Linked DNA regions of Lepisosteus oculatus. The protein of the gene in region 2 purifies or fractionates together with the protein of the main gene of each other region. This does not show direct contact. Links are inferred from orthologs where the notes say so. Each region holds a gene or a part of one and is shown on either strand. Other genes may lie near its edges. The genes, in order: pole3, smarca1 and cecr2.

Region 1 (3,753 bases), on a different chromosome or scaffold from region 2:
CTTTATAAAGGGCCGAAAAATAGCACAATTTAAGCAAAACAATAGCTCATTTCACATATACCCGCAGTATCGAACGAGCCCCTGTTGAGAACGGTCAATAACGCAACTATGGTTGAGCTTTTATGGGGCAGGAGCCGACTGCATGGTTGATGGAGCATATCTAAATGGAACACGTGGTCCAATAGCCACCAGGTTAATTGGCAAGAGCCTGGGTTTTAAAGTAGACTCTACGGCCCATTATAACTTATCCTCAATCTGGCTCTTTCTCAAGTTACTTAAGCTTCACAGCAGTCGGTCCTGACAGCAGTGGAGGGGGAGGAGGCGGGGGGTGGGGTGGGAAGAGAGATTTAGTTTTCCACCTCCTCCTCCTCTCCCTCCTGCTCCTCCTCCATGCGCTCCTCCTCTTCCTCTTCGTTCTCCTCCTCCCGGCTCTTGTCGGGGTCCTCGCCATCGTTCCTCTTCTCCTTGTCTTTGCGCTTCTGCTCCGAGGCCTCCTTCTTCCCCCGCTGGCCCTTCTTGTACGCTGCGGAGCAGAGAGACCCCAGGACCGTGAGACCGGTGAACGGGCGACCGTTTAACTCTGCGCAGTAAATGCATTTTCCCCTGTCACTGTGACGACTTCCATCCGGGGACACGGATCACTCGCTTTAGCGCCTACTGTATAAAAAGCAGAATATAGCCTGTGCTTGACTAGCAATTCAATCGAAGGGAAAATCATCCTTTGTTAGCCAGGCGTTGATGAAGTTACAATCGCAAAACCATGACGTTTGTGTGCAAGCTGGCCAAGGAAAAAGAGATGCCAGTCTATGGGATTCCTGCAGAGACTGAATCTCTCCCAGATCTCTTTGATTTATTCTGCGGTGTCGGTTGTGTCGTTGGTCTCTCGCCCTCTGCCCCTTCACCCGCATGCACTCCTCTCCTAGTCCACCCCCTCCTTCTCACCTTCCAACGACTCCTTCAGTGGCTGGAGGAAGCGCTCAAACTCCATCTCCTCCATGGCCGCCAGCACGTCGCCCGCGTTCAGAGTCTTCCTCTTGGCTTTCATGGCAAAGTTGTTTGCACTGGGTAGCATTAATCACAGGGAGACAGGAAAAAGGGCTGTTAGGGTCCTGCAGTCTCTCCGGTGAGGGATCGACAAGTCGAGACGGGTCTTTGTATTAATTCATCGCATATACAACCTGCTTCTCCTTTTTGTTCCAACGAAGACCTTCACTTTAAAAAACAAGTGCACCATTCTCCCCTCCTTTGTTTTGAACAGTGAGCACATGGCACAAATCAGTGTTTTTTTTCCTTAAGTAATTTTTAAATTAAGTAAAATATAACTATTTTCCCCCTGCTTTTTGCTTGTCAAAAGATCTAAGATCTAACTTAATTGTCCATCCCAACCGGTGGGAATTTGTCTTTGATATGGCCACACAAAACAACACTTAACATAGACATTAAAGACAAATAGACCTAGACATGCAACAGTACGTATACTGTTCATGCATCTTGCTCTGCCCCTGTTACACTACCATTACAATAATCGAAAAGCTTCATACAGGGACTGGTCACTTCTGCGGGTCGGATCCAGTGCCCTGGAAATGCTGTGCGCGCCATCCTCACCATGATGTGGCATACAGGACAAAGACACTGGCAGCCTGCGAGATGGCTCTCCTGGCCTCTTTGGATATGTTCACTCCATCGGGGAGCTGCAGGGGAAAAAAAAAAGGTGCTCAAGCAAGGTAAGGGGTTTCATTAGTTAAGATCGCCTTTTTTTTTACACTTTATACTATTGAACAGGGATGCACCTGTCTATTCCTGTAAAAACCAGCACAGTTCCCTAAGTCTACTGTTCAACTGTCTACCTTGATTACTCGGTGTATTTTACAGCTCTGTATTATGTAGAGGCTCATTCTGCTGCTCTACATTCAGAAAGCTGCGTCTCGCCCCTAGACCGATTTTTCCCCACCTTTCCTTTCCGGCTGTTGCCATCTGTACAGGTGGTTAGTGGCTGTTAACTGATTTAAGACATTCGTCTCTGATTCATTTGCGCCCAAATCCTGTGGGAACACCCCCAGATATGCAAAAAAAACCCACCAACTAGCAGAGAAAGTTAAGAGAACACCTGACAGTTGTTCCTTTAAATTTTCGTTTTACTTCGGAAGGGCACCCTTTTTGAAAATCTGTATACCAGCGATTCCAGGCTGTTGAGATAAAAAGGAAAGCCCAGCAACCGAGCCAATAACCTCGCACAGTGTCATACCGCTTCCTTGATAATACGCGTTATCACAGCGTTGGGCAAATTCAGGTCCTCTGGCCGCTCAGCCATTCCGCCTCTGTTCCCGAAAGACGAGCCGTTATCTGCGGACGCAAACCCAGTCAGATTAGATCACACGGGCCGGCGGTGGCATCGGTTTGGACACCCCGGGAGCAGGAACGGGTGAAGGCGGCCTGACGTCTCGTCAGGGCCGCCCGGGGTGGCCAAGCACAACGCGCCCACAGCCCTAAGAAGGGTAACCGGGTTTCTCACGATTTAACTACAGTACAGACGACCTTTACCTCCAGGTCCCGGTGAGGTACGTTTGTTCCCACGTTAATTCCGATCCAAGTGTTTTAACAGCGGGGTTCGGTCGAAACTTTTACTACAGTTTTAAAATCAACAGCCCGCGTGAATCTGAATCTGACAAACCACGAACGCCCTTTCACCTTTGACCTCCCACCCCTTGGCGACGTCAATAACAGTAATAAAACTTCTAGCGGACACATGGAAAAATAGTCATATGTATTCTTACTATTTTGTTTGCCCACATAGTCACCACAACACAGATAAAACAGCAGAATGTATTTAGAATTTATTTTTATTGTATGACCGAGCGTGAAACCCACAATGCACTCTGGCTGTCGGGGCAACTTGCGCATGTTCAGTAAAGAAAGCGTCTTGTTGCCAGGCAACAAGATTACTAGCTGACTACTTGCCCGGCTTGAGGTAAAACAAATACATTAACTGTTTAAAAATACATAACTTTGTATGCTGTTGAGTTTGCCTTGTTTAATGTCGTTTCTGGGTCTATATGTGGAGGCATTAGTTGATAGTTGTAAATGGGAAGAATTCAAAACAAGAATATTTTACAAGCACGCTTGAACTCGTGAAGAGAAAACCAGCTCAGATCATTCTCTGTCCTTTTTTTTTTTTAATTTGGAAGTAAACGCATCAGATAAGAGTTTATTAAAACAGTCGTGGCCTGCCCTTGCACTCTAAAACCACGGTTCTGTAGATTTCGCGAATTAAAGTTCTGGAATAATTAAAAGGGTTCTGACGAAACAAACAACCTCCGTGCGCTTAGTGTTTCAAAAACCTAGACTTGAGAAACAATGCACGCTGGTGTCCACCAGCAGTAAGGATGCCTGCCGCTTTAAGTTCTGATATTTCGATCCTAGCCCTGTTGATTTGAAGACCGCAATGGAGGACCCGGGCGGGCTGATTCTGGACGAGACGCATTGTTTCCTGGCGCTGTGTCAGCATCCCTGCTGCTGGGAAGCAGAGAGGCGAGTTTATAGAGGCTTCCCCAGGTACACCAAGGCGAGGACTGCACCCACGGTCTCACAAGAAGGTACTTTACGAGAATCCATCCTTTTCCCCTCACGATAACACTTACAAAGAAGAGAAATCCATTTGGCCCAGCTCATCTGGCTCATTGGTTTTTCAGGAGCTAAGCGATCCAAGTATCCTTTAAGAAAGACGCCAGTGTATCACCTTCACCAGCCTGGCCT
Region 2 (3,753 bases):
AAAATGGTGAGGAAACTAAAGATAGTAAGTAGTAGAAGCCTTAAGGTTTTAGTGTGGTCTGGACAACTACAGTACACTATTTGCTTAAGGTTTTGATTAAAGCAAAGGTGACATAAATGATTCTCACTAAACTTCAGACCTGCATAGATTACAGCAGATTTCAAATTTCTAACTTCAATACATTAGGCTTTTGTGACATCTAGTGGTCTGTTTAACATTTTTCCTGCGCTAAGAAAACTGTGAAATTATTATTCGATAGACGTATGACCTTATCCAGGGCGATTTACAGGAATAAATGCAAGTACTATTTAAATGTCGGTACAATGATCACTGCAAGAACATTACAAAGGTGTCAAATAATCCAATAGTATAATAACAGAGCTAATACAAATCTAAAAGAATCTAACACACATTGAATACAACAAAAACAAAAATTATTAGCATTAAGTGCTAATTCTATGTCAATATTAATAAAATATATTAATGAGACTGGGCGAGAGTATGTTAAAGGACCTGTTATTTTTTCAATAATTCTTAACTGATTAAACGTCGTTGTGTACGAGTTTTTTTTATTATACTCCTGCTTTAAATTCAAAATATCTCGACACTGCAGTGGTACGGATCACTGCTACTTCGTTCTTCCAGTAGGACATATTTATTGAACAAACCGAATATTCTCACATTAATTCGGTAACAGCTTCAGTTTCTCCCTTTCCACTAATATGTATACTACGTTTACTATTTTGGCATTTGACACATCTTGGCATAGCTCTTTAGATATATTGTATTAAGATTTGTTGTATCAAAACAACTACGACTCCAAGAAATAAAATACAAATAACTAGCGCTTAAAAAGTAAAATCACACAGGGCGCAAGCTCATTTGAAAGATCACAAGTACAGTATCAACACCAGTTCTGTGTTTTAAAATAGATGACATTATGTGTGTGCATTTTTTAAAATACTAGGCTAAGCCTTTAGAATCGAAATCCAACTCAACGTCTGGAAATATATTTCCTTTCTGTCCGAATTTTCTAGTCAAAACCGGACTAACTTCTCGCGGTGTTACGTTGCCATAACTCCGCGAGATTTAATTATATGTATAAGGGGGCGGATGCTACGAAATGTACAGTCAGATGGTGACGTATTTTATTATTTTAACTTACAGTAAAAATCAAAATTGAGTCAAGATTAAACAAGTATAGGAGCAATGTCAGACGAAGAGATTCCGTCAACATCCCGGGAGCCTGAACCTGATTCGGAGGAGGTGAGGGAAGGATAATGTGCAGTATTTTTCAGTAAGCTTCTGTGTAAAAGAAGTAGACATTGCAGAACCGAAGTTTGCTGTTTTTTTTTTTTGCTTCGTTTTGCATTTGGGGAATATGGCGGGAAGGAAGCACGCAACATCTGCAGACAGATGTCAGTCTGTATTTTAGAAGATACAAAAACAACCTATTATATTAAAACAAAGCATGACTGACCACCTAACCCCTACAGTTAGTATAGTAGCCCAGGTACCGATCAAAAGAAATACAGGTGGGCGTGAAAATTGAAAACGACACTCACTGCGTCTTGCAGAGAAGCTGGTACCTAATACAGTACCTCAAGAATACAGTAAAATGGCACTGCGAGAGAAAAAGCCTGCTGTCGAATAGGAAACCGAATAGGTGTTGTGTTGTATAATTATTATACCTGTTACATTAACAGACACAGTCCAGTTTTAAGTAATTGTTCTGTACATTATAAATACAGACTTAATAGCAAGTTTCCCCTTTCATAACAGTCAAAATTCACTAATGTAATAATGTACTGAAGAATGCCCCCAATGGTAATTCAGACACACAAAATATGCTGTTTCGGATGTTTTGATTACAGAATGAGACAACTATATTTATTTAATAAACTTAGGAAACATGAAAAAGCCATATACTGTATGCTGTATACAGAGAAAAACTGAGACTTATTTTACTATTCTAAAAAACTCCAATTAATATAATATACATTGATAAAATAATACTATTATTCATAAACATATAGGTCCATATACAGTTTTGGTATAAATAACTTCACCATCTAACCATGCTACTCATACTTAGGGTATTATTACTAAATTAATAGTACATTACTTCATTTATATTGAAAGATGTGCAGTTTATTTTAAATTTTAAAACTTATATCCAATACACAAACAAAGCAACTAAAATAGTCAAAGTGACAAAATGTCATTTACATACAGTAATCATTACATTTATCATTTGATGTACTCTGTGCCTTTAGAAAGAGGATCCACCTTTTCAACTCAAACCTCCCCCCAAACTGGTAACAAAAGTAGAGGCAGACGTTGACCCTGAATATGAGGAAAAGAGGGTAAGTAATTCAATGCACATACTGTATCATGCATTATTATTTTGCTGTCTGATATATTATTAACAATTTTCACCCTTAATTGTGTGACCTGTTCTATAATACCATTCAAAAGAAACATGTATTTCAATTCTAGATTTGATGTTAGCTGTTATAGATCAAAATTGCAATTGCATTGTAATTTATTCAGATTTAGTTTCTAAGATTACAATAATAAATGATGAGACATGGGAACTCTACTGAACATGTACAGAACATATTTCACTTGTGTTGGTGAAATGTTCAAAAGAAAAGATTAATGGTTCCTCTCTCATTGTAAGTTTCAAATTTTGGTTTAATGCACTGCTTTTGTTTTAAACTGGTAATAGTAAACAAGTAAACTTTAACTTACGTGCAAATAAGAAACACATGCAGAAATATACTTCAGGTATATTTCAGATATTACAAACTACACACAGGATTTAAAGTATTTTTTTCTTCTCTCTTTTTCCTTCAGAAAACAGATCGGGCTAACAGATTTGAATTCTTATTGAAGCAGACAGAGCTCTTTGCACATTTTATTCAGCCAGCAGCACAGAAGTCTCCTACATCTCCACTGAAAGTGAAGCTGGGGAGACCTCGCATGAAGAAGGATGAAAAACAAAATCTGCTCTCCGTGGGGGAGTAAGTCATCAATAAGATTGTTATTTGAAATAATTTGTACCACTTAATACAGACATTAGTACCATCTGCATTTATATTTCAGTGCTTACTTGTATCACGATTCCACTGTGTGTATGAGTGCAGTGTACCACTGTGGTCTCCGTCTGTATTATTTAAATGGTAATGAAATACAGTTCTTCCCATTAAACCAATATTTGATGTTGTTTTATTTTTCACTTTAAATTGCCTGGGAATACATATATATTAAATATTAAATGGTTTTTTTTTGTGTGTGTAAATTTCAGTAATCGTCATAGACGCACTGAGCAAGAAGAGGATGAGGAGTTGCTGTCAGAGAGCCGAAAGACATCAAACGTCCTGGTCAGATTTGAAGAATCACCATCTTGTAAGGCACAAAAAAATATTGAATTAAGTAATTTTACTTGAGCTGTCATGATCTTTTATAGCTTGGCCAATACATTCAATTTCATGATGCTTACAGATAAAAAAGCTACCATTTTAATGGCTATATTTAGCAGGCGTATCCAGTAATAGATTTTGTATTAAGACATTTCTAATTGTAATGCTTTGCTAAATGCTCAGATTTTATTGTTATTTCAAATATTTTGTTTTCCAGATGTTAAAAATGGAGCACTGAGGGATTACCAAATTCGAGGCCTGAACTGGATGATATCCCTATATGAAAATGGAATAAATGGAATTCTGGCTGATGAGATGGTATGAACTA
Region 3 (3,753 bases), on a different chromosome or scaffold from region 2:
AGCATCTGCTCATCAGTAGATGGTGACACTGTTCAATTCCATCCAGATTAATGACAGACGTGCACATTAATGCCGCTTATTGGAAATGATCGCAGGACAATACAACTCTTACACGTTGTGTTTTTGTTTGTTTTGCTGACCTCAATAATTATAACTGGTCAAGAAGTCGACTGTCGGGCATTACTTAGGAGAACTGACAATGTATAATTATTCAGAGAAACACGCCTCCTCGCGCATTACTCCACGTTGAACGAAGGAAAATCCACAAGAATCTCAACTATAACAGGTAGCCGCTTCGTACAATGCTAAGGTACAATGCCTTTATCATCGACAAACGTATGAGTTACCAAACCGTGTCCTACGTGTTGACAAGTGAACGCTCCTTCACTGGGAGGGGGGTCACATGACAGGACACCCCGCGACGAGGCCTGGGAGGGTCATCAAAGCGGACATAACGTCCCGCGACAGCGGAGACAACGACATTTTTACTCGCCCTCTGCACAAGTCCACTTGCCTTGTAATGGTTGCAGTGAACCCGGGGAACGGCCGATCTACAGCTGAACGTAACGTGACCTTGGATAGTCGGCGCTCCCGATCAGATTAAGATGTTCCTGATCGCCGGGGCTTCAGCTCCGGGTCTGCACAGTCAAGCCATGAGGCGCCGTCCCATTGCAAACGGCAAAATCGTCAGCTACCCCAGCTAACTAACCGCATCACCTTCTTTCGACCACCCTAAATTTATAGAGTCGTGTCATGCGTCACCTTGGATGAGCCTTGGGGAATTAGATTAAGACGTTCCTCTCATCGACATCGCAAAACCAGCAGTTTACAACAGCTGCGATAACACTCACGCAGCCAATTGGAAAAGGGAAATGAGCCCGACCGATATTCAACGGTCTCGCCAAGTTTTATTTCTCAGGTTGGGTTTGTTTTATAACATACGGAGGCATTACGCGCATCATTTTAGTGGGGGGGAAGGGGTAATCGACCTCAAAAATTCGTTTCTGACACCAAGCCTCCTCGGCAAGGGACCTTCAATCATCCACACAATGGGCGAAGCAGCAGAGAGAAAGCCAACTTCACTTGAGCTGAACAGCGTGTGGTGTTTTTCTCCCCTTCCCAATAACAAAGCGATGCTTTGGATTTGGAGAAGGAGGAGGAGGGGTGCTGATGCATGATGTTGACCTTCCTCGTTTTTTCCCCCAAATCTCAGATTTCCTCAGATCTTTCTGGGATCAAGCAACCGTTCTTAACTGGAAGCGTTTTGAACCCTAAACCTAAAATGCAGCTCGACTGCCTTTAAACTTCCTCCCCACTCGTACAGCTAGACGCGATGTAGCGTAACATTAACAGTCAGCCTCTCTACTTGCGGCGCTCGAAGTGTGATCGATTACAACAAAACATCTCACTACAAACACATACAAATGCACACCTTCTCAAATTCAACCCTCAGTTTTGAATCGGGGTGAACTTTAGGTAAGCTTCAAGCAGCATTATGGGCGAGTGAGAAAAACAAGCTCAGCAGGAAAAAGCCTCCTTTTGGAAACGAGATGCATTAATACCCTCACGCACCGTAAACAATGCTCTTAAATTGAGGTCAACTGACCATAAAACTTAAAGGACAGGTGAACTTGACTTTTTCCATAATAATAATGATGATAATGATGCAAGAAATTACAGTCACCTGGCACACATGATCATGCTCAACGAACAACAAGAAACTGAAGTCCGTCTGAAATAAAATCACAGTGTTTCGTTTAAAAAACCGTATGCGCGCAATTGATCCAACATAGTTTCATTTTGTTAGCAAAAATTACAAGTGCTACAATTTTTGGACTGGGGTCGCTTAGCACAGCGATGAAAAACCCATTTAGAATACGAAAACAAACGGACTTCTCACAATCCAACTTTATTTATCAAAACAAACCCACATTATCGCTGTTTAAAAAGACACGAATCAACCAGTAAAACATTTCTGTGTTCTGACGGAACCCATTATACCCTTGTAATCGAAAATCAATTTTGAGGTAAATGTGTTTTAAAAGGGGGATCAAAGAAAATGACCAAAGATCACAAAGAACTTAAACATCAGAACTTTTCATTCATGCATGGTAAAGGGAGGTGGCAACACGGATGGGTATAGTTAAAGTTTAAATCACGCAACCGGAAAACAAATGCACCATCTTAATGAATGAAATAAATCACTGCGCCCTTACCTCAATTTCAAAGTCTGGTAAATTGAAAGCGGTCCTGAATAAGGAGCAGAAATGAGCTATGGCAGGGACTTCCCACCACGAACGGATTTCTTCCACAGAAACTGTACATTCCTGGGACATTTTCCAAAGGTGCGAGGTATATATTATTTTACATCAGTGGGGGAAAAGGTGGCTTGCGATTTTTTTAAAAGTTTTCTTTTGCTTGGAAAAAAAAAACTTATCTTTAAAGAAACCAAAGTTGTTGTTGCATCAAGTCAGTTGCCATTGCAACCTGGAGAGTACTACAATCTGCTTCAATCTGAATTTCACAAGTAGGGAACAGATGGGGGGGAGCTACCATCTCAGTAGAGTAGGGGGAGTTGCCGTTAAACCCAGTGTGTCCTTGAGTGCAGTCAGCCTGGAGTTCTTATACAGTAGCATCTCCGCTGTGATCTACAACGAAATGTCCTCTTTCAAAAAAGCTTTGCTTGATTGTACCTCTTCGGTGTAGCGAGCTCCGCGTTGTTTTGTGAAACTTTTCCCCCCGACTCGGCTCTGTAGTCGAGGACCCAGTTAAAGGGAATGCTTGCAAGGGTCCCTGTGTGAGCTTGAAAGAAGCGCTCGTGCAGAGTGGGCACATGGAGGTATCCTGTAGCGTGGAGCATCCAGAGAGGGAGCGCAATCACATTATCTTAGTACACACTGCTGGGGGTGGGAAAGGGGGAGAAGCTTGGCGGACAATGATAAGCCGCGATGGCTGTTTTTTGTGTGGGGGGTGTAGCTACGGTGTGGACCGGTTTAACACCCACAACATAAACCTTTCTAGCCTGTCTCCCCCTATTAAACAATAACACATAACATTAAGTGCAAAGAAAATTTCAAAGTTAAAAGCAGAAGATTCGGTGTCGGTAAAGGAGCTGAGAGATTTTTGTTTTGTGTTGAGCAGTGTTGCCTGTAGTATGCCGAGTCGCACACAGTATTTTAGTAGACAAAGGAGGTCAGTCATTTCTTAGATTGCTGTCAAAACCTTATATGAGCACAGAGAACGTGAAGTATTTCTATATTTGCGTGTCTGAGTTTAGACTTAAATACTTACCATTTTGACAGTTCACAGCACTTTGTAAATTTAACGTCCTTAAAGAATTGTATTATAGAAAGATGTGTTGTCGATTCAAATTCAAATCTGTGATATTAATGAATAAAAAACTCGTTAAATGCTGTTGTAGATATTTGATGCAAGAGTCGGATTTAACTTTGCCTCTCTTGCGCTCGCCTAAATTCATACCAATGTTTTGACCTGACATCTTTAATATTTATTAGTGTTTTTACGGCGCTCAGCTTTTTCGTGATTTACAGCGCCTCCTGGCGTAAAAGAGGTAGACATGTACATAACGTTCCACTAGAAAAACCCAACACTATTATGATAATCTCTTAACTGTTAAATTCAGTTTTTTGTATAAATTGAATTCACAATGAAGTGCCACGAAAAACTTTACCAGTCCTTGTTTTGCGTGTAAGGACAGACAATGCAGTACATATCACTAACCCTGTATGTCGA

Evidence for each region.
Region 1: the proteins of smarca1 (region 2) and pole3 purify together in Homo sapiens (affinity purification with mass spectrometry; 3 studies listed by BioGRID and IntAct, with this or other methods). This does not show direct contact. The link is inferred for Lepisosteus oculatus from reciprocal best matches to the Homo sapiens genes SMARCA1 and POLE3.
Region 3: the proteins of smarca1 (region 2) and cecr2 purify together in Homo sapiens (affinity purification with mass spectrometry; 3 studies listed by BioGRID and IntAct, with this or other methods). This does not show direct contact. The link is inferred for Lepisosteus oculatus from reciprocal best matches to the Homo sapiens genes SMARCA1 and CECR2.

Annotation. Positions count from the first base shown.
Region 1 is NC_090719.1:3,256,297-3,260,049, reverse strand, and holds the start of pole3 (DNA polymerase epsilon subunit 3), read right to left. Parts: upstream 2,684-3,753; 5' UTR 2,542-2,683; intron 2,344-2,541; 5' UTR 2,312-2,343; coding exon 2,246-2,311; intron 1,692-2,245; coding exon 1,606-1,691; intron 1,062-1,605; coding exon 943-1,061; intron 524-942; coding exon 348-523; 3' UTR 1-347. Other genes in the region: uncharacterized protein C9orf43 homolog, read left to right, coding at 3,443-3,593. UniProt on the Homo sapiens protein: Accessory component of the DNA polymerase epsilon complex. Participates in DNA repair and in chromosomal DNA replication.
Region 2 is NC_090703.1:42,610,575-42,614,327, reverse strand, and holds the start of smarca1 (probable global transcription activator SNF2L1), read left to right. Parts: upstream 1-1,102; 5' UTR 1,103-1,209; coding exon 1,210-1,266; intron 1,267-2,276; coding exon 2,277-2,366; intron 2,367-2,859; coding exon 2,860-3,026; intron 3,027-3,310; coding exon 3,311-3,411; intron 3,412-3,642; coding exon 3,643-3,743; intron 3,744-3,753.
Region 3 is NC_090702.1:8,898,238-8,901,990, reverse strand, and holds the start of cecr2 (chromatin remodeling regulator CECR2), read right to left. Parts: upstream 2,634-3,753; 5' UTR 2,337-2,633; coding exon 2,217-2,336; intron 1-2,216. UniProt on the Homo sapiens protein: Regulatory subunit of the ATP-dependent CERF-1 and CERF-5 ISWI chromatin remodeling complexes, which form ordered nucleosome arrays on chromatin and facilitate access to DNA during DNA-templated processes such as DNA replication, transcription, and repair.